Neodiprion lecontei: one gene and its partners. The protein of the gene in region 4 interacts with the protein of the main gene of each other region in a pairwise test. Links are inferred from orthologs where the notes say so. Each region holds a gene or a part of one and is shown on either strand. Other genes may lie near its edges. The genes, in order: intraflagellar transport protein 20 homolog, palmitoyltransferase Hip14, ubiquitin-associated domain-containing protein 1 and huntingtin.

What was found.
Region 1: the proteins of huntingtin (region 4) and intraflagellar transport protein 20 homolog interact in binary tests that used the Homo sapiens proteins (3 or more experiments, as listed by UniProt). The link is inferred for Neodiprion lecontei from reciprocal best matches to the Homo sapiens genes HTT and IFT20.
Region 2: the proteins of huntingtin (region 4) and palmitoyltransferase Hip14 interact in binary tests that used the Homo sapiens proteins (3 or more experiments, as listed by UniProt). The link is inferred for Neodiprion lecontei from reciprocal best matches to the Homo sapiens genes HTT and ZDHHC17.
Region 3: the proteins of huntingtin (region 4) and ubiquitin-associated domain-containing protein 1 interact in binary tests that used the Homo sapiens proteins (3 or more experiments, as listed by UniProt). The link is inferred for Neodiprion lecontei from reciprocal best matches to the Homo sapiens genes HTT and UBAC1.

The regions. Positions count from the first base shown.
Region 1 is NC_060264.1:1,962,363-1,970,449, forward strand, and holds intraflagellar transport protein 20 homolog, read left to right. Parts: upstream 1-2,849; 5' UTR 2,850-2,858; coding exon 2,859-2,982; intron 2,983-3,562; coding exon 3,563-3,717; intron 3,718-3,832; coding exon 3,833-3,946; 3' UTR 3,947-5,445; downstream 5,446-8,087. Other genes in the region: BTB/POZ domain-containing adapter for CUL3-mediated RhoA degradation protein 3, read right to left, coding at 586-789, 984-1,182, 1,274-1,586, 1,703-1,955; probable protein phosphatase CG10417, read right to left, coding at 5,835-6,089, 6,596-7,051, 7,239-7,377, 7,524-8,087. UniProt on the Homo sapiens protein: Part of intraflagellar transport (IFT) particles involved in ciliary process assembly. May play a role in the trafficking of ciliary membrane proteins from the Golgi complex to the cilium.
Region 2 is NC_060265.1:1,407,619-1,415,576, reverse strand, and holds the start of palmitoyltransferase Hip14, read left to right. Parts: upstream 1-2,974; 5' UTR 2,975-3,719; coding exon 3,720-3,857; intron 3,858-4,056; coding exon 4,057-4,256; intron 4,257-4,345; coding exon 4,346-4,555; intron 4,556-4,685; coding exon 4,686-4,965; intron 4,966-5,608; coding exon 5,609-5,809; intron 5,810-5,924; coding exon 5,925-6,086; intron 6,087-6,268; coding exon 6,269-6,425; intron 6,426-6,505; coding exon 6,506-6,750; intron 6,751-6,861; coding exon 6,862-7,098; 3' UTR 7,099-7,958. UniProt on the Homo sapiens protein: Palmitoyltransferase that catalyzes the addition of palmitate onto various protein substrates and is involved in a variety of cellular processes.
Region 3 is NC_060261.1:28,608,211-28,617,246, forward strand, and holds ubiquitin-associated domain-containing protein 1, read left to right. Parts: upstream 1-3,227; coding exon 3,228-3,412; intron 3,413-4,175; coding exon 4,176-4,369; intron 4,370-4,763; coding exon 4,764-4,924; intron 4,925-5,100; coding exon 5,101-5,312; intron 5,313-5,362; exon of another isoform or gene 5,363-5,384; coding exon 5,385-5,566; exon of another isoform or gene 5,567-5,754; coding exon 5,755-5,945; exon of another isoform or gene 5,946-6,231; coding exon 6,232-6,370; exon of another isoform or gene 6,371-6,461; coding exon 6,462-6,604; 3' UTR 6,605-6,726; downstream 6,727-9,036. Other genes in the region: uncharacterized protein LOC107225833, read right to left, coding at 7,386-7,672, 7,799-8,817, 8,912-9,036.
Region 4 is NC_060262.1:8,088,359-8,096,217, forward strand, and holds the start of huntingtin, read left to right. Parts: upstream 1-2,752; 5' UTR 2,753-2,960; coding exon 2,961-3,046; intron 3,047-3,290; coding exon 3,291-3,477; intron 3,478-4,412; exon of another isoform or gene 4,413-4,428; coding exon 4,429-4,707; intron 4,708-5,137; coding exon 5,138-5,279; intron 5,280-5,626; coding exon 5,627-6,196; intron 6,197-6,347; coding exon 6,348-6,958; intron 6,959-7,072; coding exon 7,073-7,386; intron 7,387-7,541; coding exon 7,542-7,859.

The DNA of each region.
Region 1 (8,087 bases), on a different chromosome or scaffold from region 4:
AATACGTTAAACGTCAACGAATTACGTTCTATATTTTCAAAGCCTGGGCTGGCTAGCGCCATTAATTTTCTACAGACACACATTCTTACTCCCTCTCTCTATCTCTGTTTCACTCTCACTCTCGCACTCCCTTTCAATATACAAACATATTTCATTGGCAGTAAATACTCCGAATCATGCGTCAAACAGTCTAACAATATATGCAAGTACAAATTGAAAAAAGGAGAAAACTTCACGAAATCTAGACAACTATTGCGACACTTATGTGGCAGCCTTGTTCAATCCTCGTTAACAGATATTTAGTTTAATACAAACTGGTCGATGCACTTTAGACTGGAACCCTAATGTGGTCAACAGATGTTACAGAGTATAAAATTACGATAAAAATTAACGCGATTCGGAAGTATGGTGTAGATAATCGCAAGTTACTATTAACGCTTGTACAAACAACAAGACTGTTCTTTCATGAACAGTTGTTTTTTTTTTTTTTTTCGTTTTCGTAGGTTATTTGTTGGCTCGTGTTTTGAATGAACGAACTACATTGAGAATAGCTGGTTGGGGTGACATCAGGTGATTCGGATGGGGTCAGTTAGTGTTTTGCTTATTTGATCGCAGTCGGGCAAGTCCCGATCGTTCTCCTTCTTCCTCGTCTGAAGTGCAAGGAGGCCCTCCTCCCACAGCACCACGTGAAGATGTTGCCTGCATTAATTCCTGATCAGGTACGTTTCGATGCTCGTAAAGTAAGATATTTAACGTCTCTTCGTAGATACGCGCTTCCGGGAACTCAACCTAAGTCAAAATGGGACAACATTGGCTAAGACAAAGTTTGTAGAAGACGTGAAATTCCATAAAAATTGGTATTTACTGGTGTTGTGATTCCACAAACAATTAATCTCTATTTGTTCTTCAGCTTCTGGCAACGGCAATAGAAAAAAATGTTCGTTCAAGTTAGAAATTTAAATTCTGCCTAAAGTTATCTTTACCTTTGTATGTTTTTTATCTGTCGCGTAGACGATAGAATGACAACAAACTTCGGCAACCTTACGACCATGTCCATAAAAAGTCCAGCAACAAATTTCACTCGACCCAATTACGTCCTTAATGAACAAAACCCTGCCGCTAAATCTGAGCGACATCTTGTCAAACAGTTCTATATTTTTCAAAAGATTGTCATCTGATGTACTGTAAATAGAAACGAATGGGTCATATGATTGCTTTCCAAAAAAAATTTTAAAAAGCGAAAAAAGCCAAGCTGTTTAAATCTGTCTCCTACCTCGTGTAAGAGTACTTGTTGTTGTGACGATTAATCAGCAATTTAACAACAGGTTTTGTTGTGTTGCTGATAAGGAGTTGCTGCTCACGTTGGGAGGTGATAAGTGGAACCCTGCAGATGGGTTCAGCCTCCCGCTCCTTCCGCTGGAGCGCTTGTTCGCACGACTCAGCCAGCTCGCCGATGCAATAATACTTTGCCTCGGCCAGCAGCTCTGCCATCTCCTTCACACTCTCAGGTAGCGGAACTGAACCGTCCCGCAAAAAGTTTAAGATCGTGCCAAAGTGCTTGCCACACCGATCGATTAGGATCCAGCCTGTGAAAACGAATAATAGTAAATAAAAAGAAAGTAGGGAACTTGGGTGATTTTAAAATTTGTACACCATTTCATTTGGAATTGCCTTTTGGAAAGAGGCATGAGCGGCTCCTCACCTTCGCAATCTGTAAGAACCTCCATCCGACCGCTAAACATAGCTCGCAACATAGTGTCATGTTTGGTGAGCGTGCCAATGGTGGTGTAATGAAGGGAACCGCCAATGTTTAATTTGACGTACTGCGACGGGTTTCCTTTCATGACAGTTTTGTGATCCCCCGACATAACGATTTCGCCGCCAGGTATTAACGCGGCCGCGGATGATGACGATGATGGTGATATGTTAATTGTATCGAGCGTCAGACTCAACATTTAAGACATGAGCAACAGAATCGTTGCTTGTTAATAGACCGGAAATTTTATTAAAACCTGCGTAACTAAGGTTATTTACAAATACAAGTTGGATTCGCTGATCAACAATAACAGCGAATTTAATACGATGTGATTTTAGGTTATAATCACTGTAAACCAAATCGAGTCATTTCGACCTCGTGATGGTTTCCTATGTCTTATCTAATTATACGAATTGTATTAAATTCTTATCCGCGGCACAATTCATTCGATATTCTCATGGTCACTAAACAAAAATTCCTTTTAATAAACCAAAAAAAAAAAAAACACTATTTATATGTTTTGCCCCATGTTGGAGACGTGAATATGATACGCGTATGAGAATGTATGCGAGCATTATGCATGAGTGTAACTCGCTTGTGTTAACAGGCTTGGGTAACGATATCCTAACGAAGAGAGTCAGCCTTATGATGATACGTGTTTCAACAAAATTTAACAGCGAGCTACACCGGCTAATATGCATTTTACAATGCCGACATCGTCAACTGACATACCGACAAAGCGTGTTGTCTTTTTCTAGCTGGCGCATTCAAAAGGGAGGGAAAATTTAACGTTATCGATAAAACGCCGGCTGACGTTTTTCTTAACCGACCAGCACCCGAAAATTATAGCCCGTTATGAATGCCGGAAAACCAAGTTTTGAGCAGGTTTTATAAACTTTCACTGCTTTTCGCTATACATGTTGTCTACTTCACCATTCCTTTACACGCGCAATAGCTTAATTGTCGTAGATAATTGTAATGAAGGAAGATTATCGGTCGGCTAAGAAAATGCATAGTACCGCCTTAACTCGCCCGGCACCTGCGCGTAAAGCAATTGCAATATACACATGCATACGTCATGAATCACATCTGTTTGACGAAAATGGCCGACTCGCTGGGAAAATATGGGTTATTCATCGATGATTTGAGCAAGATACGGGTACTGGAGCCAGAAATATCGAATCAAACAAATAAATTGAAAGAGGAGTGTCAGAATTTTGTTTCCAGTAAGTGACAAGCAGATATAAAAGCACAAAAGGGATCAATCAGCGTGACAGCGATTGACAGCGGTTCCAATGGCACATGCACACAATTAAAATCGTCCATAATAAAAACATCAATACAGAAAAATATACTTGTTATTAAAATCTTATTCGATTCACTTACCTCTATTAAAATTTATTTCACAACCCTCGAGACGTTTATTAAAATACAATTCCCATCAACGCGCTCGTTATCAACGAATATCCTTGCTTGTTATAACTTTGTAAATCGCGCAGACTGCCATCTTTATTATTTTACGCAGACTAAAAAGTTGATGTGTGCGTATATGTTTAGCCTTATACACACTTCGAAGTTCGATTAGAGCTGGTGTAAAAATAAACTGAATCAAGTAGAATGCATTATAGAAATTGTACATTATGAATTACGACGGATTTAACGGTTGTCCTTTTTTCCGAAGAAAATGGATTGATTTATCGTAGGAACCGTTTCGATAGCCCCGTATAGCAACGAGCGAGAAAGCGAATGGAGTACAGCATAAAGTACGAGTGCAATTATTGTTCTAATCCTGGGTAAAATTTTTAGAAATAACAGAGTTCCAAAAGAGTTCCGACGACTTCATTCAGATCGTCGACAATTTGGCGAATGAAGTCGAAAAAGAAAAGATGCGGACTATAGGGGCGCGTAACTTGTTGCGCTCAGTCGCTAAACAGAGAGATGCACAGAGACAGCAAATTCAGGTGTACATCATGAATTACAATTAAAGTTTTCAATCATTACCATTAATTTTATCGTATGCAACGAACGACAACAATGTACTAAACACGCGGTGCGTGTGTTTTGTTCTATTTCTAGGCTCTTATAATTGAAAAGTCAACGGAACTGGAGCGGCTACGGGTGCAGTACGATTCATTGAAAAAAATCGAACTGGAACAACTAGAAACTATAGAGCAATTGACCGCGAATTGATGTTAAAATTTTTTATCGGCATTATTCATATTTATCTTCTATTTCCTTTATGCATATTCTTTATTCCGTGTGACTTTTTCAATGAGGATTGTAGCATACAATTATAAACACTGTTATCAGCTGGTGTATACAATATTATGATGGTGTAATTAATGAAAAATACAAGAGGGTGGTATTTGGGCTGAGCATATAGATAAATTACAGTAATTACACAACGAAGAGAAACGGAATTAAGATCCAAAACAATGAATAATAATAGATAGAATAATTGACGAGTTTTTTTTTTTTCTCCCAAAATTACATAAATCATGTGTGATGTAATTATTTTTAAAGGAAAAACTCATAGCGAGATGTGTATGCCGTGCGTGTGTATACATATACATTGCTGTATATATACATACGTACGGACTACATAAAATTATAACATAATAATTAAACACGGAAATAAACGGGCTTTGGGTTACTGGCTCTATTTAACCTATCTGCATACTGCACCACATATAATTTGAAAAGGCACACGTTCAAGGATCGCCTTCCCTCTCTTAACTGTTCAATATTACTCGTTATTGAGCATTTCTTCATTATTACATACACGGTCAAATTTAATACTTCAATCCGTATTTAATTTTTGACATTCAAGATTAACAACAGGCGATTCTCTTTTATCTATTTTTTTTTCATTTGTTTGTAGTTTACAGTAGATGCCATGAACCGCAATTTATTCGATGATCGAGTGGATTGTTAAACATCGTTCATATTTCGCTTCAAAGCGAAGAACAGAAAAAAAATTGTATTTTACGTCAACAACTTAGACCTATTAAGATTGGATTATTATCATCATCATCATCAACGTTTGTAGATAAAAAAAATGTACATAACGTATATTTTTTCATTCTCTTATAACAATAAAGTTATTTTAAAAGAGAAAAATAATCATAAAGATTTACTGCAAACAGTATTCATTCATTACTACCAGCACTGAACTTAATTCATGTAGACACGTAGTCAAGGGCAATTATATTAATGATAAGAATGATAATTATAATAAGAATAATAATAATGAGAAATAGATTAAACTAGATAACATTATAGTCACGCAACCATCCATACAACCATATAGTAACCAGGAATTCAAAAATAAACTTTATTTAGTAAAAATAAGAAATGGTGTCGTATTGAATTACAAATATTATTATTAATCCTACATCCTAGATTTATAAATATGTACAGTTACATACCTATTACACCTGTAACCTAGAAGAACTCTCAGTTGAGTACACATCATAAGAGTAGATTGGAGCAGATAGGAGAATCTAATTCCATTTCCTCTCGTTAAGTTTGCCACATCTTTTTCACACAACGGTTTGCGATAATCAAATGTTCCATGCACGCATCATATATATTAATATGCCGCGACACTGAAGCTATAACATATTATGTTGTTTTCTGATCCTCAGATACCCATTAAACTCGAAAGGCAACAGATTTATTTAACAATGTCTCATTAAAAAAAAATTTAAAACAAACTCTATAAGCGTCAGCCCCCAATCTGCTCCAATCAATCAGTCTGCCACCATTGTTCAACACTAACGATTATTGCAATCCTCCAGACGTGACGGTTTTACACTATTACTATTATTATTCATCATTCATCCGTTCGTTCTGTGTATGTTCAATCATAAAATAACTATTATACTGAGAATTTCGCCAATTTCTCAATTTATTAAGTCCACAGTTTTTGTCGGTTTTTACCTTTATTTTTTTTACCGTTTTTGCAATTCAAGTTTCACACAGCAGGATTTCCAAAACTTTACAACGGCCGTATTATTATCATTGTGTCACTCTCAAGAGGTTGCAGAGATACGTTAGTGAAGCTTAGCATAACTTCCTAGACAGTCTCGGTCTTTTGACGCTTAGATTCTGGCGTCGTTTCTTCACCTGTGGATATGTTACCTTCGTTTGCCAAAGGAATTGGTGATGCCGGTCTTTTCTTATTCTCCGTTGCGATTGATGTCATATCAGATGCCTCGGTCGTAGATGGTATCGGAGCACTTGGCTTCTTAAAACGTACTATTACAGCAGTCATATTGTCACAGCCGGTTCCGTCACCAAGAGTATTCGGTGCAAGACAATGGTCAAAGAGCTACAATGTTCCAAGGATCACATTATACCATACACCGTGAATAAATTCTAGCATGTAAAATATCAACAAGAACGAAATAGCAATACTGACATTTATCTGATTACAAATTATCATGTGTTATTTAGCTATTGCTTTGTGACAGGGTGAGCATGAAATATAAGACTGAGAGTTCTCAGTTGAACCCTTAGCGGCCACATAGGGTAACTAGTTACCCCAGGCTTAGAAGATGTGAAATTAGAGGTCTAAAACCTTTGGAATTGATACAAGTAATGACATCTGCCGGTAGTAGACAAGTGTGATAAAAATCATTAGAAATGTTGAAGAACTCTTCAACAAATATGAAACAATCAGTTAGAAGTCTTAAAACACCCATATGTCTTGTACAACTAGGATTTTCAGCGTGGGGTAATGAGTTACCCCACATGGCCACTAAGGGTTAAAAAAAATTGACGTCATTGTTACAAAATATACGAGTACCGAATTTCAAGTTAACGCAATCTACTTACCTCTTCGCAAATTTGAGAAATAGTCTCATACCCCTGTTTAAATCTGGTACTAACGAACTGCACGACATCTTGGCTAGACATGAAATTCCAAATTCCATCACAGGCAAGTACCATGAATTCGTCTTGTTCAGGATCAATTGTAGCTGTTTTAATGTCTGGTTCAGCAGAGATCATTTGCTCTTGAGGAGGAAGTGCTGCGTTCTGCTTATAGGAGTGGTCTCCTAACGCTCTAGAGAGGTTCAAACCACCGTTAACACGGCCATCTGCAGTAACCTTTCCACCTGCTTTAACGATTCTCTGCATTTCCGGCTGATCCTCAGGCTTGTGATCAAGACTCAGCTCAACAGCTTGCCCGTTACGACAAAGAACGCATCGGGAATCTCCCGCATTCGCAACATACAACTCCCGTCCTGCTAGTACAGCCACTACTGCGGTACATCCGCTATCTGAGCCAGGCTATAAGGTGAAAGAAATCAGCGACAATGAGTCGGTCTGAATACACGAGAACAAATTTACATTCTCAAATTGTGCATATTGAATAAATTCAAAGGCAACGTAGGTAACAAAACAAACGTAAGAATACTTCTAAGACGAGTTGTGAAAATATCAAGACTTATTTGTAAGAAAACATTCAGGTTATTACTTCTTCTGTCATATCCATGGTACATTCATCGTCGTCATCATCAGGGTCCATGTCATCTTCATCGCTGTCATCATCATCATCATTGTCATCGTCGTCATCAACATTGTCAACATCCTCTGTATCATCATCTTCGTCATCACTAAGGGTAGAGAAAATATGCAATACACGTGAAGTAGCTGCTAAGAAGTGAAAAATGGCAAAATGCTCAAACATGTCTGTATAACGTAATCTCTGAGCCGAGCACTTGTATCTGGAATATGGTAAAGAAGAAATAAAATCAGCTACCTTTCAGGAAGACCGTCGAAGGTCTCGTCTTCCTCGTCGTCGTCGTCCTCCTCACTGCCGTCATTAACGCAAAGTAATTCATAATTGACGGGCCTCCTTCGACCGCTGCTGCTGATTCTTTCCTGCTGCTCGGCTTCGCCGTTTTCCACCGTTGAACAAGAGCTGCTTGTTACATTGTCGCCTCCTCCTTTACTGCTGTCCGCACCTTGATGTTCGGCTTTTCCCCCAGTCCCGTTAACTTCTGTATCGTTGGTGGTAGGCTGTACCTGAGCTTTGCTGGGAGACACATGTTCCTTGATATCCTCAGAGCTGTCGGGCATATCACTGGACTTGACCGTCTCTGTAACTTTGGGTGATGTAACAACTCCCGATTCTCCGTTACTAGTCGTTGAATCCAAAACCTGCTCTGCCTCGCTACTACCGATGCATTCCGGTGTCACCTTGGCAGCAGAGGCAGCGATCGAGGTTGATCCGCACAGCTGGCTGCTGGAGCTACTGACGTCAGCCTCGTTGTCGTGCCAAGAGGAGGAAGAAGAGCAGCCGGCAGTCAAGAGAGACGAAGAA
Region 2 (7,958 bases), on a different chromosome or scaffold from region 4:
AGGTCCTCTTTCCTTCGTAACTTCTCTCCTGTTGATCCCACGCTCTTTCTGCTGCGTTTTCTGGGTTCCTTGGGATCCAATTGATCGGGAAAGAGTCATACGAATCAATTCTGAGACGAAAAATTTTTTGGTGAAAAAAAAAGGAAGGTTAACCCCTATGTATTTTTGGCGAAAATTTTCGCGATTTTAAAAAGTGCTGGAATCAGGTCTTTCTGGCACTATTCCGACGTAATTTCGCGAGAGAAATCGATTGGGCGCAGTCCCAATACGCTGCGATCAACGCATCAAAAGTTACAGCCAAAAAACGAAAACCTGAATTTTCGACATTTTTCAGCAGGTGCTTTTTCCTTCGTAACTTCTCTCCTGTTGATCCCACGCGCTTTTTGCTGGGTTTTCTGGGTTCCTTGGGGTTCAATTGATCGGGAAAGAGTCATACGAATCAATTCTGAGACGAAAAATTTTTTGGTGAAAAAAAAAGGAAGGTTGACCCCTTTGTATTTTTGGCGAAAATTTTCGCGATTTTAAAAAGTGCTGGAATCAGGTCTTTCTGGCACTATTCCGACGTAATTTCGCGAGAGAAATCGATTGGGCGCAGTCCCAATACGCTGCGATCAACGCATCAAAAGTTACAGCCAAAAAACGAAAACCAGAATTTTCGACATTTTTCAGCAGGTGCTTTTTCCTTCGTAACTTCTCTCCTGTTGATCCCACGCTCTTTCTGCTGCGTTTTCTGGGTTCCTTGGGGTCCAATTGATCGGGAAAGCGTCATACGAATCAATTCTGAGACGAAAAATTTTTTGGTGAAAAAAAAAGGAAGGTTAACCCCTTTGTATTTTTGGCGAAAATTTTCGCGATTTTAAAAAGTGCTGGAATCAGGTCTTTCTGGCACTATTCCGACGTAATTTCGCGAGAGAAATCGATTGGGCGCAGTCCCAATACGCTGCGATCAACGCATCAAAAGTTACAGCCAAAAAACGAAAACCCGAATTTCCGACATTTTTCAGCAGGTGCTTTTTCCTTCGTAACTTCTCTCCTGTTGATCCCACGCTTTTTTTGCTGCGTTTTGTGAGTTCCTGGTGGTCCAATTGATCGGGAAAGAGTCATACGAATCAATTCTGAGACGAAAAATTTTTTGGTGAAAAAAAAAGGAAGGTTAACCCCTTTGTATTTTTGGCGAAAATTTTCGCGATTTTAAAAAGTGCTGGAATCAGGTCTTTCTGGCACTATTCCGACGTAATTTTGCGAGAGAAATCGATTGGGCGCAGTCCCAATACGCTGCGATCAACGCATCAAAAGTTACAGCCAAAAAACGAAAACCCGAATTTTCGACATTTTTCAGCAGGTGCTTTTTCCTTCGTAACTTCTCTCCTGTTGATCCCACGCTCTTTTTGCTGCGTTTTCTGGGTTCCTCAGGGTCCAATTGATCGGGAAAGAGTCATACGAATCAATTCTGAGACGAAAAATTTTTTGGTGAAAAAAAAAGGAAGGTTAACCCCTTTGTATTTTTGGCGAAAATTTTCGCGATTTTGAAGAGTGCTGGAATCAGGTCTTTCTGGCACTATTCCGACGTAATTTCGCAAGAGAAATCGATTGGGCGCAGTCCCAATACGCTGCGATCAACGCATCAAAAGTTACAGCCAAAAAATGAAAACCTGAATTTTCGACATTTTTCAGCAGGTGCTTTTTCCTTCGTAACTTCTCTCCTGTTGATCCCACGCTCTTTTTGCTGCGTTTTGTGAGTTCCTGGTGGTCCAATTGATCGGGAAAGAGTCATACGAATCAATTCTGAAACGAAAAATTTTTTGGTGAAAAAAAAAGGAAGGTTAACCCCTTTGAATTTTTGGCGAAAATTTTCGCGATTTTCAAAAGTGCTGGAATCAGGTCTTTCTGGCACTATTCCGACGTAATTTCGCGAGAGAAATCGATTGGGCGCAGTCCCAATACGCTGCGATCAACGCATCAAAAGTTTCAGCCAAAAAACGAAAACCTGAATTTTCGACATTTTTCAGCAGGTGCTTTTTCCTTCGTAACTTCTCTCCTGTTGATCCCACGCTCTTTTTGCTGCGTTTTCTGGGTTTCTTGGGGTCCAATTGATCGGGAAAGAGTCATACGAATCAATTCTGAGACGAAAAATTTTTTGGTGAAAAAAAAAGGAAGGTTAACCCCTTTGTATTTTTGGCGAAAATTTTCGCGATTTTGAAAAGTGCTGGAATCCGGTCTTCCTGGCACTATTCCGACGTAATTTCGCGAGAGAAATCGATTGGGCGTAGTCCTAATACGTTGCGATCAACGGAATAAGAGTAACAGCCGAAAAACCGAAGACTTACTGCCTACTTTTTCCGCTGCTCGTCCTACGGACCTTTTGCTGCGTTTCCTGAGTTTTTGGGGTTTTAATTGGTCTAGAGAGCTGCGTCGCTATCGATCTCAAGCTGAAAATCTTTCCGCCCCAAAATGGAAGACAAAAATCAGGCCTCTGCAGTTTTTTGGTCTCTTTTTTGACGATTTTGCAAAATGCCAGAACAAATCTGTTGAGGCCCTATATGGACGTCATCCTTCGAAGGCATTCGATTGCGCATAGTCTATCGGGTTTTTCCAACGTCTGCGAGTTAGACAGAAAGGATATTCGTTTCAATGTTCGCCGTATTCACTAAAATTACTTCCACGAGGCTAACGGAGAAAACGTTATTTTTCTCCGACGGAAATTTTTAAGCGTCGGTACGTCAGTCGTCTATCGGTTACGATATGTCGGCTACCACGTTGACCGTTGACGTTAACTGATGAGATACTCTAAGTAACCGCGCGATGCAATATATTTTCAGCTCCCAGAACCATCGTTAACCATCCCATAGCTCATTATACTTTTTGAGAGCAGAGATGGATTCCCATAAGAATTCCGAAGTGTCCCGAACGGGCGTTGAAAACCAGAGATCCACAGAGAGTGTCTGGCGAAGACATATATTTTCTGTCAATCTAGTGAGACTGCCTCGAGTTCAAGCCGGAGGGCAATATATATCAACGCTGGGTATCTCCAACAGTGGGAGGACTACTTTCAGTTGCATCTGATATAAAGTAGACCGGCCGCGGTGCGTAAGTTTCATACTCGGTTTTCTACGTCATTTAATAACATGATAAATTTAAGAGTCCAATGCACGTGACGGTTTCGATTATCATTATCACCAAAGTAAAATTAGTCAGCACCCTGTTGTAATGTTGTATTAACGATTACTCAATAAGCGTTATCTCGCGACCGCTCCGAAAGTCCGAGTAGTGAATCTTCTGCAAACAGCAAACCCGGGCTTTGGTCGACGAGAAAATCGGCCGAGTATCAATCCTGTCATCGGGACGCGAAGTTGGCGTGCCACATACCGGCGCCCCACCCTTCGGCAATCAAGTGTTGTCGTGAACTTGGTTTTGTATCTAACATTGCAAATCGGGATTACTGACTATGGACGATCTTCGACGGGGATCTCTTGACTCGTAAAGTGAGAACTCTCTAACTCGAATCCATCCACTGTATTGATTGTATGTCAGAAAAATCAATTCGTTACCGTCATTTTAACACCGCCGAGTGAGCCACATAACCTGTGATTTGTCTTATACAGTGGTGCTTTTGTAGATATTTCAATTCAAGAATGTGCAGTGATTGTGACTTGAGGTTTCGTTCAACTACGTAACTAATCACGTGTATTTCGTTCTGAGTATTATACAAAAAATTCAGCATGTATGCCCTACAAATGCAAACTGCCTGTCAGGGCGAAGGCAGTGGTGAACCGGAAGATCCAAGTAGTATACAACAGGAGCCAACGCGTCCTGCTACTCAGGATTGTAGCGCGTACGACATTGTCAGAGCTACACAGGTAAACAGTCACTTGTATAACTGACGTATAAAAATGTGCATTGTTAGTCAATCATTAGAGAGATTATCAAAATTCAGTCAGATGTTCTGTTTATTTCGATAGCCAAGAATATAATATATACTTATATACTTGATAAAATATTAAACCACTTGAGAATGTTTATCAATATATCTGACTATTATAATAACATTCAACACAGTATGGCGCTTTGGAGCGAGTTACTGAATTAGTTGAAGCTGGGGCAAATGTGAATCAACCAGATTCGGAGACTGTTACTCTCTTGCATTGGGCATCGATCAACAATCGGAAGGAAATTGTCAAATATCTTATTGCCAAAGGCGCTATCGTCGATGCAATCGGTGGAGAATTAGCCTCGACTCCGCTTCATTGGGCCACAAGGTTGGTTTTTGATCAACAACATTCTGAAAAGTAGAAAGTAATCTCATTCATTTAATAGTTTTCACTCAATACTATATCAAAATTTTTAGGCAAGGGCACCTACCAACGGTCGTATTATTGCTAAGAGCAGGTGCTGATCCTTCTTTGAGAGACTCGGAAGGATTTTCATGCATTCATTTGGCAGCTCAGTTCGGTCATACAGCTATTGTTGCATATCTAGTCGCAAAAGGAGTTAATCCAAATATGCCTGATAGAAGCGCCATGACTCCGTTAATGTGGAGTGCATATAAAGTGAATAGGTATGTAAATCTGAAGATTGTAGATTTCTTATTGATAATAAAATGTACATTTACAAGGTACACGCTCAAAATGCTTTACAACATCCTGTATATAACGACAGGATGATCATTCAATAATTATATCTTACAGTCTAGATCCAACCCGATTGTTATTAACCCTGGGTGCATCAAATTCACTCACAGACAACCTCCATGGTAATACAGCCTTGCATTGGGCCATTATAGCAAAGAACAACACTGCCATATCAACGTTAGTTCACAGTGGGGCATCGTTAGATGTTCCCAACTTTCAAAATGAAACACCTCAAAGCTTGTTGAGTCCACATATAGGAGCAGTGTGGCTGGGTCATAAGATAAGTCAAGAAATTAAGGAGAAACAAGGACGCACAAGAGCATGGTGCAGAGACAAGGTATAACAATTTGATAATCCATTCGCACCACGTGGAAAAGTACGGCCAATGAAACAGTCAAAGATATTTTATTTGTACAAGCCACTTTATGGTAACATAGAACATAAACAAGCTTTAATCAATAGTTGGGTGGTTATTGGTATACGTAGCACAGTGAATAATTGTTGGAATAAGCATCGTGAGCTATAACTATATGTGATATATCGTAGTAATATTATACTCTCAATTAGACTAAATTTGTTTCCCTCTTTCAATTACAGTGAATTATTGTCATGTGAATGATTTTATTTGTAGAAGGAGAGGAACACAGGGAAAATTGATGAACTCTAAGTGATCGATATCGATTGTATTGTAATATGCTCTTGTTGAATGACACCTACATTGCATGAAACTCGATTACAATTTTGAACCATTCTTTTTATACCAGTCTAATAATCCTTGAAGTATCATTGATAAAAACCGTTGCCTAGTAATTCTCGATGTATTATGACAACTTGATGACAGTTATGAAATTTTTTCCTCAGTGCTTAGTAAATTACAATAATAATTGTAAATTAATAATTTATATGGAACGAGGTACATTAGTTTCATATTATTAAAAACCTTATAATGCCTAAAATTATTATTTTATCATGATTTTCAGAGAGTGAGATGGTATTGTATGGTCAGCACTCCGTTCTTCGTGTTTTACATCATCGGATTAGTCCTCCAAAGTGGATTTGATTATTTAGCAAAATTAGGTGCCTTCCTCACCATCTACATAGCCGTCTACTTGGCGAATCACTTTCTGTTTGACGAGCGTCTTTTTCACATTTTGCCCATGTCAATATACCTGGCTACAAAGGTGAATATTTATATAGTAATCAAAAAGTCATCAAATATATAAATTAGAATACAAGTCTTTGACCAGTCAACTATTTAAAGAATGTAAGTTCAGAGATATTTCTAACAAATTACAGATGTGGATATATATAACATGGATATTTTGGCTGGGAGTACATGCAGCCTGGTATCTGTGGTTCATGTTAGTTGTTGGATCCGTACCTTTGTGGACATGCTTTTTAAAATCATGGAGGGGAAATCCAGGAGTGATTACAGCAACGCATGAAGACAAATTAAATGTATGTACTGAATATGTTTGATGTTTGCACGGGCGAAATTCACTTGAAAACTTATACTCAACATATGAATAGCTAGTTCATTTTATCAGGCTAGAAGAATTTTTTCAAACGAACTTCCATGTCATTAATATAAAACGTACTTTTTTTCTACAAGCCTAAGTTGTAAGTTATACATATTTCAGACAATTATTGCGTTGGCAGAATCTGGTGGTTTTGAACCGCAATGGTTTTGCAGTAGTTGCTTGGTTAGAAGACCGATGCGCTCAAAGCATTGTTCTTCTTGTGATCGCTGTGTTGCTCGATTCGACCACCACTGTCCTTGGGTGAATAACTGCATTGGTACGTGTACGATGAAGTTTACCAAAGTTTCAAAATTCTTCATATTACACGTTGTTTCCATTAAAAAATTTCATCCTTAGGAGCAAACAATCATAAATATTTCCTTGGATTCTTGGCATCTCTACTAGCCTTGTGTATTGTGGTTTTGTCAGCAAGCGTACAATACTGGCAGTTTGAGTGTTGGAGTAATCTCACAAATGGCCATAGTCCAGATAATTACTTGGTATCAGCAGCTACTTGCGACGCGTGGGTAGCTTGGGTATCTGCAAATACAGCACTTCATTCTTTTTGGGTAGGAACGTTGTTGGCTTGTCAGTGCTACCAGGTAAATAATTCCATTTCTTAAGGTTTTTTCCATTAATTTTTTGAACCATACTTGTATTGTGTACTTGGATTTCGTAATGGAAATGTTGAATGAGTTAATTTTTATCCTTAGATCATGGTCCTGGGTATGACGACCAATGAACGTATGAACGCAGGTCGTTACAAACACTTCAAGCAAGGTAATCCCTTTCACAGAGGGGCAATACAGAACGCTGCTGATTTTTGTGGGTTAAGCTTCTGTGGTGTTAAAGCAAAGCCGAGCTCAGACTGGTTGCACAGCTTTGATCTCAAGCAGAGCATAGAAAAATTACCTTTGCTTGCGGCAAAAGACAATTATCAATATGTATAAGGATATTGGATAGCTAATACGGTATATCTCGTGTGAAGATTATTGGCATTGTTATTACGTTATCACTATTGGAGTTATCAGATTTTGATACGCCGTTTCACTTGTTTTTATAGTTAATCTGTAGTACCAAAGAGAGTTACTATGTTGAAATAATAATGATTAAGTGACTTGATAAGATTGGATGGTAAGCAAGGAGCAAATTGTGTATCTAAACACATTCCTAGAACTTGAATTAAAACAAAGAGAGTTTTCAAATTCCATTTAAAATCGCTAATGTAGACTGGGACGAAAAAAAAGTACTACAGTTTTTTCTTGATGATCAATTGATCTCTATACTTGCTGTGTAACAAATTCTTTCAGTTAATAGCCTTTGCAATTAGCGTTTACTTACTAGTGTCGTGTTTGAATTTTGACTCTAAATAAGCCGCGATACAAGTTGAATATGATAAAACGAGTCTCAGCTCGGCACTAGATGCAGCTACATTTCTCCTTATATCTATATGACTAATAATTGTATTGAATCTTCTTACAAGTTGTATCACAACTACTGTTGTTGCCGGTTTAATTTTTATATTATTTTGTAACATTTGTTGGTGATTCCAAACCAGTTCTAAACAATTTGCCCACTTAATTCTACCATTATTGTAAACTAATCGAAATTCCGAGTCATGGTCTGATTTGTGCAGAGATGCCTTATTATTAGTACGCATTTCAATAAGAAAATTCATAAAGTATCTTGATTGGCGATACATTGCTTATTGTTCTTGAAGCGCTATTTGCTCGCCTTGTGCCATTACTTGCGAAACATTTTATGATTATATATACAGGATGAGGCTATATACAGCATTGCATGAAAGCTG
Region 3 (9,036 bases), on a different chromosome or scaffold from region 4:
CTCCTCCTCCTCCTTTCCGTCCTTCTCCTCATCCACCTCGATCCCCCGCAACCTCCCTTAAACACTTCCGACCACCTCCAACCACCTCGGGTCATACCTCGAATACTAATAAATAATTTCAGTATTACAACACGTGGAAAATATTATCTGAGGATCAATATATTTTTTTCATATACAGGTTTGACTAAGAAGATTATGAGAAAATTATAAGAAATTATAGGAATTTCTCTAGCGCATTGATAGCTACGAAATGTGGGCTTCCGCGAAAAATGGATTGAAATAATTTACTGTAAACATGACAAGTTTGAAAAATTTCAAGATGAAATATAATTACAATTGCCATTAAATATCATAAAAATGTTATGCTCACCGTGCACAAATAGTAACATAGCTTTTTCTTATTGGTTGACACGAAAATAGTTGATTATAATTATTAATTTTGTACTATTATAGCATACAAATGGTTAAAAGCTGAAAGCAATCAATAATTATATAGCTAAATTTCGAGTAACACCGAAAAAAGGTCAATAATGAAATCAGATAATGGAGAAAAACTATCTTTCATGTCGGTTCAAAGAGGAAACCGGATTCTTCAAATGCTGCCATATGAAAAATCGGTAAAAGTACATATATTTTTTTTTTTAATCAATCAAATACGATAAGTTCCAAGCGAAACGTTGATTGTCGGTTATTTTTTTTATAGGGAGATAACTAACGAAGCTTTTTAAAATTTCGAGTGTAGTTCAACTCACATTTGGACAGTACAAGAAAAATTTATTTACCATCAATTGTCGCAAAATGGCGAAGTCATTAGTTGGTCATCGAAGCACCTCGTCGCTGGAATCTCGAATTGGCCGGAAAGATGGAGTGCGTAATTTTTGTCTGAAACGTAAAAACTAAAATTACTTCGAATTGACATATATTTTCATCATCGATGAACTAAGAAACTCATAAAATACGTTAAATCACATTCATATTCGTTCAGAAGAAAAAAATCGTTAAGTTTTACCTTTGAGCTCGACAATTAACACGAGATCACTGCCTTTTGGGTTATTTTGGTACACCGATAATAGAATGGTGCGCGAATTAAAAATAACAAGTTTTAAAACACTCGCTCGCTAAAGCTCGCTCGTGGTCGGATGCCTAGTGTAACTGATTTTTCTGCTCGTGCGCTCGCTTACTCGTTGTCAGTGTTTTAACACATAACACAGTTGTAGGGGAGACTGGGATACGATGACTCCCCAAAAAATTCTGGTATTGGCTTCACAGTATACAGAATGAACACCGTCTTCGCGCATGTGACGTAAACCGAATCTGCTCGTAAGATTTTTTCTATATAATACTACAAATCACGTTTACAGATGCATGTAAGTACAACGTATTGTGATTTTATGATAATAAATTTCCACAAAAAATACCACAGAACAACCAGCTAAGTGCTAACAGATCTGATACACTAACCACAGCAATTTTAGCTCTAATTGAACGACGTTATTTTCATCTATTCCTATGTACCTATATAATGCCAAACACTCACCAATTGCAATTTGTTGGTCCTGGTCGCTCGGTTTTTTCCGATTCAAAGTGTTATCTGAAACATGCATTTTGGTTTGATGGTACAAAACATGACGTTTTCAATAATCAAACTTGTAAACTTGAAAATTAGTCCGGAAGGTCAAAAGTCACCAGGTCAAGAACCTGGACAGTCAGAACTACGTAGCGCTTGTCCTGGAAGTCGAGTTTCAACAGGTACTGGACCTGGAGCGCAGAAACTACGGAGCACTTGTCCTGAAAGTCGAGTTTCACCAGGTAGCGGACCTGGAGCATGGAAACTACCGCGCGCTTCTCCTGGAACTCGAGTAGCACCAGGCAGCGGACCTGGAGCACAGAAACTACCGAGCGCTACTCCTGGAACTCGAGTTGCGCCACGAAACGGACCCGGAGCGCAGAATCCAGGAGGTAAAGAACCCGGTACTCGAAATCTGCGGAGCGCGATTCTCGTACGTCCTCTCTACCGCGCGGTTGTTTCCAGACTGAGGAATTCGGCTAGCTGATCACTATAGATTGAAGACGTCAAGAGAAAAAAAATTTTGACTTTCTGAACATCCGAACATCCAAACTTTGGTTTCGAACTTCAATACTATGTATGATGTATGATGTATGACGTATGATGATAAGATATGATGTATAATGATTTTAGTTCTTACATTTCGGACAAGAAATACGCACTTTATCTTCCTTGCCGATTCCAGACTCAATCGGCTAGGCCCATCGATGGTCAGCTGTTGACTAAAGATATATTCTTTAGTCAACGGGTCAGCTAATAACGCTGCCGTTCTGCGACAGTTGTATGATAAAAACTTTTGCTCGTACCTTTCAAATGTGTTTTAAAATACACTCGAAGTATTAAGAAGCTTCGTTCTATCTCTCTCTATCAAAGAAAAAAAAATCGCCGACAATCACCTTTTTAGGTCTTTAAAGCAGGACACTGCGTTAAATACTGTCTCATATACGGAGCATCCATGTCATCTCGATCAAAATTAGCGCATCCGTGATGTATTACAGTTACTCTGAATTTTTTTCCCATACGAACACTTTTCGAAAAACGAGTCTGCTTCTCTACCAAACGTAGATACTTCAATTGCGACTAGCTAAAACAGCGTTTCGATTCTATGCCTACGAAAATTCAAGATCGAGAGAGCAAATGAAAAGTTGTTGGAATAATTATGAATATTAATGGCGGTTTTTGGCGCGATTTTACAAGGCCACAAGGACCCAAGCTGGATTATGACAATCTGAGTTGGCAACACTGTTTAAACTGCGTGCAAATGGCCGCCGTTGCGGGCAAACGTCAAAATAATACGAACGGAAATATTCAAGGTAAAATAACGACTACCAGAATTTTAAGGTCAAGGTATTTTTATTGCCATCGGAAGTAAAAAATTTAGCGTAATCGTGTTGCACTCGCGCTGTATCCGGAATATGTCAACTTCGCGTACTTGAGCACTCTAATCTGGCTTAACCTAAATCTTTCATATTGAGAAATGAATAGTCAGTTATGGATTAACGATTAACTCTGACTTGACGACGATGTAAAATAACACTCATAAATCACCTAATACTAGAACTACCCTGTGATCAAAGACACGTGTATTCGAACGCTGCTTTAAACTCCCGAAAAATTGGACAACATACGTATTAGTTTTTTTATTGTCCAGGGCTACTTGATGTTTCCATGGATGCGTGGACAAATACTGGAAGCCTGGAGTAGCAGACGGAGCTCTCGAGAAGCCGGGAGGCGCTCCTCGGCTCTCTCTTCTGCGGACCCAGGAAATCCCTCTAGAAATTCAGGTGTTACAATGTTTGTGTCACCACAGTCAATCCCTGAGAGTTTCTCAGTTAACATTATCAGGTTTGCATTTCATTACCTATAAAAAAAACCATTCGACCATGCACTCTCGTACTATGAAGTTATGAAAAAGTGTACTCTACTTCCTTTCGGTTTAAAAACAATATTCTGAAAATCAGTGAAAAGCCACCATGTGCGTACAAGTTGCCACTATTTCTATTATCGCTTTATATTACATTTGAAAGAGAATAATATTTAACAAATACTACATGAGAAAATAGATAGAATGTAATAAAAACAAATGTGAATTTAAATTTTCTTAACCCTCTGCCGTACTTTGACGAATCTGACTCGTGATACATATTTCGTATCAAACATGAAGATCACGAGTCAGACACGTAGACTGAAGATTAGGCTCATATTGCAGCTGTTTTCAGCATCACTCTAGCCTATTTAGCGCGCATCGTCTCATATTGCTTGGGCTCAGATCTTGCCGAACTAAATGGTACGGCGAGGGGTTAATATCCATTTTCTCAATTGCCCTGGCGATTTTGAATAGGATTTTCACAGTTATATAGAATTAAGTATCAGAAAATATTGTATATAATAATATCATTACTCAGGTTAAAGATATTAAACATTTAACTAGTTACTACATTATTGTGTAGAGAAGTTTTGGTGGTTGTATTATAAAGTTCACCAATTTTAAATGTCGAGCAGAATAACCGCTATGTTTAATGTACCCAAATTTGAGAGATTACTTAGGTACATTCGTCATGTTCAAGAATGAAGGAACAGATCGTAATCACCACAATAATATTTTCAGTTTGGAGGGCCATGTGTTTGGCATCAACATCAAGCCAGACTTTACTATAGAAAAAATTAAAGCAGTCGCAACTAAACACTTTTATGGACAAGACACATCAAAGCCTTCATCATGCTTTAGATTAGTTCATGCAACAAAACTAAAATCGTTATCTGATGAAAAAAAAGCAGAGGAAGAGGGCATTGAAAAGTTTGGTGAGTATCGCAAAATTTGGAAGTAAATTGAATAGGATATTGCTAAAGACGTAAAAAAAACGTGTGCAACAGAAGTGATACTTCTGCAATTTATATAAGTGATTCACCATGGCTTCAACAACTCGGTAACAGAGAGAGGAGACTGAGGATAGGTAATCCTGTGTGTAGTTTGCGTTTCATAACAGTGCTTTATATAGTGGTACGTGTCAAAACATTACGTTTCATAGCAGCACATTTCATTGCAGTGCGTTTCAAAACATCGCGTTTTACAACATTCTGTTATTATCCCTGCTAAAGAAGTTTCACTTCAATAGCAAAATCGAATTTTGGAAAATGATTGAGGCTGGTTCAATGTCAGTTTCCTTCGATGATTTCTGGTGATTTTTTGTTTCAGATGAGTTGCTGATGGTTGAGATCCATCCAGTTATAATAAAAGAAAATCTAACAGAAGAGATTCTAAAAGGACCCAGTGAGGAGGTGATAGCTCGAATCACGGCAGGACTTCCAATTAAAAACCCATCACGACCTGCGCCCAGTGCCGATTGCCCAGCTGATGTAAATATTTCATAATGATAAAATATGAGTTTTGTAGTATTGTTTTATTCTTAGAAAACTATGTTTTATTAGAAAGATTTTGAAAAGTTTATCGAGGTAAGAAAGTGTGCTAATAATTATTAGGCTAATGATAAGTATTGAGTAAAATACAATGATTAAACGCACAACATGGACAGTTTCAGAATGAAATAAGAAAGATTCTCATCACACTGGTCCAAACTTCTGCAAAGATTTTAAATCATAGTCCTGAAGCAGCTAAAATTTATGAAGTAATTAGGGAAAGATGGGAGACCAGATGCAAACCGCCAAATGATCCCAAGTCTGTTAAATATCTCATGGATATGGGCTTCTCGGAGAAGAAAGTATTGAAAGCTCTACGGCTCAGGAAGTAAGTAACATTAGCATCATTGCATGAATGTGCAAATTTCTTTTCCTTACTTGTTTATTCATCATTGGTAAGGATGAATACTTCTGAAGCACTTGAGTGGCTCATAGAGCATGGAGATGATCCAGATGAAGAAGATTTTGAGCTACCATCGTTAGACGCGAGCCTAGATGTGGATACAGGAGGACCTAGTTCCTCAGGAACTTCGGGCAGAAGGAGAAGTCTCAAGGAAGCATGTGTCGATTTATTCAAAGGAGGTAATGTTGCAGTTTAGCTAACTTGCTCAACTTACGACTGCTTTATGGCATGTACTCTTACCGCATAGGCAAGTTGAATTTAATACGTTCCTCTTTACCGAAAATTCGCTCTGATTAAGTCTCGAGGCGATAATTTATTCAGAATATGAATATTGTCCTCAACTCAATGCTGGGTAATTATTGAACAGGTAGTCAGAGTTCCAAGAGAGAGCCAAACTTGATTAACGTCGTCGCTCTGCTGTTAGAGTCTTTTCGTCAGTTCAAAAAACTCGATTTCAAACCAAACACGAGGGTGATATCCTCACTTCAAGAGATGGGGTTTGAGGAGAAGAAAATCATAGAAGCACTGAAAGTCACTGGAAATAATCAACCAAATGCAGTACGTTGCTAGATTTTCTATTCTACTATATTACTGAGTATTTTAAGATTTTCATCAATTCTTGTTTAACCTAAAACATTCGAGAAAAATTAGTAACAAATATTATTGACACTCAACTTCAATTTCATAACGATTAAAACATAGAAAATGATCATTGGCATAATTGTGATTTTTTTTTTTTGTGTGTCAACACCAAAATGAGTTTTAAATTCACATTAAATGTCAAAGCAAAAGCAGATTTTTTACCATCGATGTCAAATTCTTCAAGAGTTGTTTATATTTTCAGTGCGAATGGCTCTTAGGTGAGAGACGCCCTAGCTTAGAAGATTTGGACGAAGGCCTGGACCCTGACGGGCCAATTTATAAAGCAATTATGTCAAACCCTCACATACAACTCAGTCTCACCAGTCCAAAAATGTTACTAGGTGAGTCAAAAAACAAACGACGTTTTCTATGAGATTATATTCGAGAGTTACTGAATGCCAAATACTTGAGAATAAAATTTACACCTTTCAGCATACTTATCGATGCTAGAGAGTCCAATGTCAGCGAATATCTGGATAAATGACCCAGAAGCTTCACCAGTGTTGAGCCAAATTTTCAAAACCTACCATGCGGAAAAACATGCTATTCACATGAATCGTTTTGTTGAGAGCTAACAGTAGCAGAGTATAGAAACTGTTTCAGAATCACAGAAAAAAAATGAAAAAAAAAAAAGAATTATAATGCCTAGTACAAATTTAAAAAATTTTAAATATAATTCATGATACGTTGAAGATAAGTTACTGTTATTAACTGCCTGGCATGTTAAAGTTCATTCTAGTCAATATTAAAACAAAATATAAATTATCGTTAAAGTATTTATGCTATTCGTTCGTTACTTACTCAGTAGCAAATAGTGATATGTAATAGTAAAAAAGGTACTATCATTGTGAGGAAAGTATATAAAGTGCTTGATATTTATTCCTAACGATATTTAACGAATTTTACATGTAATAATTGCTACTATTACGCATATGAAATGGTATACAAACTATTATGTATACTCGCGTACACCAACAAATATATTTTTATATTAAAATGGGCCTTCAAGATCTAGTTTATATACCTATTTCAATTCAAAATGGCATGCATAATTTTAAACTATTTTTTTCGAGCGAAGTTCAATGTCGAAAGAAAACTTTGTTAAACGCTGAAGCAAATAAACTCTGTCTGAAATCATTAGCATTTACTCAGTTCCCGGAAGTGCATATGCATACCTACTTGTGCCCTATCTTTCAGCTACGACGAATCATTTTACGGAAAATTTGTTATTGGCAATTCTACATACTTCATTGCGAGTCGGTGTACATTCGATTAAACTAGGTGCAAGGAACATGTTGCGAAATATAAATTTGTTAAAAACGTCCATAATACACACCGGAAGTGGACGTTTTGAATTCAACAGTTTTTCTTCACAATTTGAATTGCCATATCGACCATGTTATCAATGTTTCCGAGATTTTTTTTCCACTTTGGTCTCTTCTTTTTTCCCAAAACGCTGTTCCAATTTATTTTACTTCTCATCATTAAACTTTTACTATTGATAATTCCTGGTACAATATCAACATCTTTGGAACCTGTGTCACTTATTATATTGACCACCGAACTTGTATCCACTGTGTCCATCGAATCCAACTGCCACGGTAGTATTCCAATTGGACAACTTCCCCAATCAACACTTTTTTCTACGAAAAATAAATTTGTTTTACAGTTAACTGAACGAAATATGCCATTTTTCCTATAGTTAGATATTCTTCTGGTGGTTGGGTTTAAACTGAAATACTAATTCGTAGTTGATAAAATAACTGTACCTTTTTCAAGTATCCAGTTTGAATTTCTGGTTGTTAGATCTGCTATTTTAATATTATCTTCGAAATTGAACTGTTCCAATCGCTCATCACTTCTGATATTTTCATTGATATGATCTTCAAACAATGCAGTAAAATCATTGATGGTTTTGACATTTTCGTTACCAACTAATTCAGTCTGGTCTTCAATATTTTGCCCTGCTGTATAAATACTGATAAAATGAATAAGATTTTCCCTGACGTCATCCCTTATGCTGGGTGTTATCAGTTCCAAAAGTGGTTCAACGAAATGATTAGAAAATTTGCTATTCAGATTAGAAATGATTGTTCTAACAAAATCTATATCAGTCAAGAAACTGGGAATTTCACCTAAGACATTTAGCCATAAAATATCTCTAAGTTCGGGAAAGTTTCTATCAACTTCGTCTCGAACTTTGAGAGACAATATGGTTGACGAAGTTCTCCTCCTTTTGTTTTCTCCGACATGTTCCAACCTATGTTTGATTTTGTGAGCTAATTTTATTTTGCACAGACTAGACGCTATATATTTCATCCACAAAGATGCAATAAGATGCTTTTGCTCATTCTCTGTCTCATCATTTATCAGTTCCAATAGCCGCAGTATTAGTTTTTGTAAAATTTCCTTCTCATGTAACATTGTTATAAACTCTTGCCAAAAATTGATGAAACGTGATGGAAGACAGTTACAGTTTTCAGTATCTGAACTTGATTTCTTTCTCCTCCCAAATATCTCAAGAAATTCTTCGCTTGGAAGGAATGCTTCCCCTCCAAGTAGAACATTCAATATAATTTCGTCTTTATCTGGTGGAAATTTGTTTTTGCTCAAATATTTAGATATTTGACACAAAAGATTGCTTTGTTCTGCTACCAGTTCGTGTTTCTCATCATCACAGGGATCAGTGTCATTTCGAGTTTCTGTATTGACGTCAATATCGATGTATTCTGTATTTTCGTTGTTTGGCAAGATCAAAGCATATGCTCGTAAATTACTCAACGTTTCTCTAACAATAAAAAGAATAACAAATAGAAGATATTTCACTTTATATCTAATGAAATCTATAGTCACCAATTATTCCTGTAAACTTATTCTCTTACCTTAACTGTGCATCAGGTATGTCTTTTATCGAGGTGTAACCAGCATGGATATATAAACCAACTGCGATCCACAATTCAATTAAATCCGTTAACGTCTGTGCTTCTTCTGGCTCATTCTCTTCTTC
Region 4 (7,859 bases):
ACAATGTGCTATTTCGGTTTGGCTTCCAGTCCTTCCTCTTCATTTCTTTTAACAACTGCTGAAGGCGCAACACATCTTTCACGGGAAATCTACATATCGAATTATAATTTAATCCCTGAGTCAATAATACCCGAGTTTTCAATTTCAATTATAATAAGATCGGTTCATAATTCAAATATTGTGAATTTTTACTGACACGATTCGTACGTTATAATACTCGTTAAATATAATTAGTAAATACTTCGTATGCTGACATAACCTCTGCAAGTTATCATTTGCAGAACGCTTCAGCGTTGTATACTCACTTGTGAAATGATCGCCCACAATATTTTGATTGCTTTGTTTTGCAAAAAACGCAGGTACTCATTGTTACCTCAATAATTGTTACTGTAATTTTCCAACACAATCGATTATATACACATACATATATCACGTATATATTTATATATATCTGAAGTGACAAGAATCTGTACAAAATGGCTACCGTTCAATTGGCGTGACGGCACCACGCTTAAATCCAATCCAGTGTATATATATATCAGTGGGTTGGACCGGTTCGACTCCCTCTACTTGTGAGATGATCGCGTCCTAATAGTAGAAGTTAGTGGGATTCTAGTTTCATTTTTAGCCGCAACCTTGGCAACATCTAAGGTTCCGACCATGGTCTTAGATCGTGTTCGTAAATTGACTGACAGTACTGAAAATTCCCTACGACAGAGTCAAAGCTATTCATGAACTTGGAAGCGCAAAAGAGATGAAAAATTGCTGACAGTACTGTCAGTCAATTTTCGAACACGGCCTTATAGACACGTCTGGGTACTCCAGGGTACTCCGGCTGTAACTCCGTGCTCGAAAATGAAACCGATGTTGTGAATTTTCGCCGCTAGCGCTAGTGAGGAAGAGGCCTACTTAGGGCGTGTTCGGAATTCGACTGACCGTACTGTCAGTACTGAAAATCTACAGTAGACGTCACTTGGACTATACCATTTTCAGTACTGACAGTACTTTCTGTCAATTTCCGAACACACCCTACATAGAGATCAGTGTACTATACACAGTAGAGATCAGTGGTGTTTACGGTTCCGGAGGCTCCGTACGCGACAGGTCAAACCTGTTTCCGTCTCTCTCACACAGCCTGCATCTCTCTATTGCAGCGACACTCGTGGTCACTAGGCGAAACGATCGGTGCTTCAATAAGAGGACACCCCCACCACTGAAATTTTGACTGAATTGCCAGACCCACGGTCTTACATACAGGTCTTGCGACTCAATAGAATTCCAATGGTAGAGAGTGGCTCCTCTATTGAAGAAAAATCCAGATGGAGCTGCGATCGAGGGATGCATCAACATAACCTACAATGTTTGAGTAAGCCTTTGACGATTGACGTGCGTGTTCCGTATTGTGTTTCGTTCACAACACGGTCAAGACCGTGTCCTTGTCGCACCGGGCATCCCTCGATCGCAGCGACGCTAGCGGCTTGACACGTTAAGAGGCCCACGTCGAAACTCAGAGTCGCAAGACCTGTATGTAAGACCGTGATACAAATTATCCAGCATGAACTATAGAATCCTTTCCGAAAGTAGATCTGTAATGTGGAACAATACAGAGCGCCACCTAGAGAGTATATCAGGGACACGACACTAAACCACTGTAGATAAATCAATTCACCGGATGATTCTGTTGGGCAAAACAATTGAATATCAATCCAATAGGTAAAATGATGAATACATCATTTTAATAATTAAACCATTTAGTCCAATAGCATCCATACCAATTTTGGAAATGAAACGTAACAATGTACAAAACATCAACCTTTACAAAGTCAGTAAGATTTCCAAGGAAGTGTCTAATAACGCCTCGAGGGCACGCGCGGCATCCAAGTTTATACCTATGTTCATTGCTGGGTAGAACGGCAACAAATAGATTGCCAAGTTCGTTCTCTTGATATCAATACATTCATGACTTTCATGCATCAATTATGGCCATAGTTATGGAGACTAGAGATAAGGAGTCCGAACGGAATGCTAGCCAAATGGTCGGTGAAACTGATGAACGATCCGCGGATTGTAACCGCCTGGTAGCGCTACCACTGCGGGCTTCGGCAGCGCGGTGATTTTGAATCGTCGATCCTCACGTATGTATTCTGGGTATGTTCCGATATACACTGCGAGCACTGTTCAGTGCTCTTACTGGGGAGAAATTCGTTCCGTTATAGACTGACAGTATACAGTCGCAGTATCCTAGGGAAATATATGACGTCATAAATCGTCGCCATTTTTCTACTGTGAACACTGGTGCTTTCGAGGTAAGGTGCTCTCAGTGCTTTGATGACGTGATCAACAGCGTTCAGAAATTTAACAGCTTCCACTATTGATAATTATTATTATTGAATATTGTCATTTAAAAATATCGGCCGTTAAAAACAAAAATGGAAAATTTGAATAAATTGTGTTTATTGCAATGTGAAACAAATATTATGTATGAAATGAAAGTAACGCCAAAAAATGTCGATCACAGTATACTGTACTGCGTTCCGTTTTAAGCAGTAACCAGTATAGCTAACTATACAGGAACGGCTTCGCAGTATACTAAATTGACGACACACCTTACAGTGCTCGCAGTGTATATCGGAACATACCCTTTATTCGTAACCAGGCGCTGGTATCTCTTGCGGATACATCCCGAACTACAAGCTCTTTCATCGCTTTCACGAACCACTTTTCGACGATTCCGCCATATGCGTTCGGATTCCTTTACTCTAGTCTCCATGGCCAGTTTTATGCCTATGTGTATGATTGTGGCACCTGTCACATTAATGTCGGCTGTTGTTATGTTTAGCATTTTAAGGTAGATCACAAGTATATGAATTATTTCCAATATGTTAGTGATTAACAGCGGATGTGCTTGACGAATGATAAATATCTACGTATAATAACGCATAAAATATCCATTGACAACCATGGCTACGATTAACGGAATACTCAAAGCGGTGGATACATTGAAAAATTTGCAACTTCAAGATACTTCCCACGATTGTGCCGCCAGGTATTTTCATTATATGACTTTAAAAAATAAGCACTATTCAGCGTTTTCAAGCGCACTTCATGCACGTAAAATGCATACCTACTGTACACCCGTCCGTATATACGTCTTTTATGTAAACTTCTATATTGATTTTCGCGTCACAGATATGCTTACATGCGATTAGAAGTATTGGAGTTTGAATTGAGATTTCATCTTCCAACGAGGTTATGTCAACCAAAATGACAAATGTCCTTATTGTTTACAGAAAAAAAGAAAAAATCGCGTACTGCACTACTGTGGCAGACGGCATATGCTCTTCTGCCGCTAGACTCACTCCAAAATTTTCTCAAGTTCTTAACGTCGCTATAGAGACGCTGCTAATGCTTTGTGATGACTCGGAATCAGATGTCAGAATGGTTGCCGACGAATGCTTGAACAGGATAATACGAGGGGTATGCTGAAAATTTTAGTATACATTCGATGTAAACATATTCAGGGGATACATCATTAAGTTGTACCATCTTTCAACTTTGAAGCATCTTTAAAATACTTGTCATACTTTAGGCAAAATGTACAGACCCCAAACCATATTTTGCTTCCCATATTTGCCTTTAAATATTTTTAGGCTCTATGGGATACATGCATTTCAGACTTTGACAATTAGTTGAATGATTCTGTCACCCTCTAACATCAACATAGTGTCCAGCTCATTCGGAATAACTGGTAAAAGTTGAGAGAACAGTTAGGGGTAGTCAGTTGATTTTGGCATAACGTTGTCTAAATGATAAAGAAAGTAATTATGCAGGCTGATCCCTATACAGAGTTTTGAAATTAACTGTAATGACAATGATTTCAATTGTTAGCATTAAACATAAATATTAGATGAATAAAGTAAAAGGTTCTGAAATTCAATGATTGTTTACATTTCATTGTAAATGTGAATTTTATAATGACTCACGTCATTCCATTTATTACATTTTATAATAAAAATTCAGGTTCATAAAATCTCCATCAGTTGTTGATTATGATAGAAGAAGTGGAATAGTCCTTTGATCAAGTTAGTCAGGATTATTATATTTTACTGGAATCTTGCAGTAGAATTTAAAAAACGATTAAATTTAATTTTGCATTGTACGGTATACATAAGGTTTTAAAATTCTAAGAGGAAGTTAAGGAATTTGAAGAATAAGTTATTGCAAAATGAATAATGCTGTTATCGAAGATTTTGCATATTATCCAGTTGCATTGTGCAGTATTTTTACAAACTTTCTTGCCCAATGGTGAAAACGACTGAAAATTAATGATAAAAACTACAAGAAATTACTGAATTTGCTAGGCACCGAGGCTAAGTATATAACGAATTAATTCTGCTTCTATTTGATAATAGTTCTTCTTATTGTCAGGCTATGACAGATGGCAACATAGTGAAGGTACAAATCGTGTTATATTGCGAAATAAAAAAGAACGGTACTGCCCGAACATTAAGAACTGCACTATGGAGGTTCGCGCAGCTGGGGCACATGATCCGGCCGCTGAAAGGAAAGGCTTACGTGGCAAATCTGATACCTTGCATTGTAGCTATTGCTCAGCGTTCCGAAGAATCTGTTATCGAGACACTAGCCAATTCTTTACCATTGATTTTGAAAACTCTGGGGAATTTTACAACAGATAGCAATGTGAAGGTAAATAAATTGAAACAAAATACGAAATTTGTTCATCTGGATACTACGCCATATTTAAATGAGTGTGTTCTTTACTCACATTTAGCCTTAGCAAATTTTAGAAAAAAAAATCTAGACTCTCGTCACAGAATAAAATAATCAATAAACGCGATTGCTGTGCAATTAATAATCGGCGATTCATCTCCCATTCATATAACACACAATCTATATGGTGCTGTAGCTCATGTGTTTGAACCCGTATTAAACACAATGGCGAGCCTCTTTTCACATCAATATTTTGAATTGTCACCCAATTTCAGAGTATGCTTATCTTCCAGTAGATTAGACATCGCTTTATTTGCGAAATTGGCTTCGGTATATGCTATGAGGCCGACAGGATGTTAAATTGTCCCGTTGAACATTTGGTTTTCATGATAATTATAATTTTCAGACTCTACTCAATGCATTCTGTCAAAACATACCTTCAACACAGGCTGTATTCCGCAGAACAGCAGCTAATATGATTCTTACGACTTGCTTGAACTCTCGAAATCCTCAGGCTTTCTTATTGCACGTTTTACAGTATATGATAGGTGAGGAAGATTTTTTAATCACCTAATTTGCGTGTGACACTTTCGCTTCTAGATCAAACTGTAGCATTCTATGCTACATAGTCTATGAACCTTTGAGGCCATGAGTTTAAAATTTGGAATGCTAATGTAACAAATACACAGAGAGACAATTTAACAACCACAATCATTCCTTCAGCCTTTGGTTGTTGAAACAACTAAACTTTTTACCTTTGATACGCTGTTACATTAGCGCTACAAATTTGAACCTTGTATTTTCATCTGTGTTGTATCAAAATAAGGATATTATTAATTGTTAGGAAGTTTACCCTCTCAGAATCCTAAACGGAACTTACTTATCTCTTGATTAGATACTCTTGTGCCAATAACTGATGACGAAGACCGTGTTACAACGGTAATTGGAGTATTTGGCTGTCTAAGGATAATAATACCTCATATTGATGAAACATCAAATTTGAGCCAACCTGACGTCCCCCTTCATAGCTTTATACAGGTGTATGAGCTATGTCTACACTTTGCCAGGTGGCATTCCGATCACAATGTCGTCAATGCAGCGTTGGAGACCTTGGCTCAATTACTACAATTCCCTTTAAAAGAATTGGTTCCGATCTTGGTTTCCTGTCAAGGGATTACACGGAGCAGGATAGCAATGAATGAAAATACAGCCCGCCTTTCTTTGGGACCGATGAGTGGTTCCAATGTAACAATATCTGGAAGAAATTTGGATTCGACATTAAATCTTTTCGATCCAGATATTCCTGAAATTAAACCAACCGTAGAGAAATGGATTGTTGATTCGGAGAATGTATTACCAGTGATTCAACGACCCCATATCAAACAAGCCGACACCAATCAAGTCATAGGGAAAAAGGAAAAGTCTTTGGAGAATTACAGCAGCCTGATCATCGGATCTCTTGACAGTAAGATTATAACGATTTAATAGACACAACTAAAACAGCGATTGTGCTGGCGATGTAGGAATAAAAATGATGTTCGTAGCATGATAATATAATCTCATACATTTGTGTGTTTCTTATGTAATGCATGTTGAAGTTAGAATATTACTTCAAGGTGAGGGAATCGAGGAAGAGAGCGACACTGGAAGTGATATTGGGAAGGCGGAGCGTTCGCCTGATCTTAGTTTGCCGAGTTTACAATCTAAAGAAGACGAGTACTTGGACGAGGTATCATCGTCCGTAACATCTTTGCATAGAACATCGTCCGGAGTTCTATATCACGAATGTGACATAGGAATGTTCACTGACGCGGACGTACCACTAAAATATTGTTGTCGATACTTGGTGTCGTCGTTTCTGCTGACTGGAATTCCTGGTCAATTGATACCTGACAAAATGTTTCGAGTTAGCGTTAAATCACTTGCTCTAACTTGCATTGGTCATATTTTACGACTTTATCCAAACTTACTTTTATCAACAATTGATAAAACGCCGAATAGCAATGCAGAACAACAATACATCAGCGATATATTACTTTTTGCTAATCATATGGATCCTCAAATAAGAGGGAATGTTGCCATGGTAATTGGATATTTTCTGAAAGCTGTTTTCCTTCAATCTGGTGATAAATACAGAAATATGGAAATATTTCTAAGGTCGACCGTACCTGATAGAATGAAGGATAATATCTTATCGTTAGAAAATCTTACAGCGCTACTATTAGAGGTGAGCAGTTTTTTCCATTTTATATATTCTAAAATTACATCTAAAGTGCTTGAATATGTACCCAATGCTAAAGACAAGAAAAGAAAACTATAATAAAGTGTGTGTTATTTATAGGGATTGAAGGACGAATCGGCTACAACATGCAGACAAACACTTTTAGCATTAAATCTATGTTTGACTGAACTGATAGAGTCAGCAAATAATAAGTATGCTTTACCAATTCTCAAAGCTCTGCCACTACTTGTTAAAAATCCATATTTTCTTGTTAAAATCAAGCTAGTCGAGGTTCTTAGCAATTTGCCATACACAACCGTCGAGTACATAACAGGTGGTCCGCATTTTCAAAAAAATGTTATCTCGGTAATGGTTGAGTTATTGGGGGACCAAGATCAAAGGGTACGTCACGCTACAGCTACTGCTATTGTTCAGTAAGTAAGAAAATTTTAAGGTGGATACTTTCTTTCAATGATAAAAAGGGTTTTTATGGATCGATTTCTATTGTTCTGCAAATGTCTCAAGAGCTTCAGCAGTATATTGAAATTTTCTGAAAAAGTAGAATAGTCTGACCACTATTTTTTTTCAGGATTGTTCCCTTGCTGTACTATCAACATCCGCACGAAAACACAGTGACAAGGAAGGCGTCTAAATTAACTGAAAGATATTTATCCGATATGATATCGAACCCATTAGAAAATTCATCTTTCCAAACAGGAAACAACTCATCGTTCAACAGTCTGCCAAAACCTTTCGATTCGTTATGTCAACAGGATGGAGATGAATATGACGAAAGAATAGAATCCGTACTATCGAGAATAATTAGTTTGCTTACGCAAAAACTGGTCGTAGGTTCGTCAAAGTACTTGAACTACGGGTGTTGTGAGACGCTTAGTTTACTCAGTGA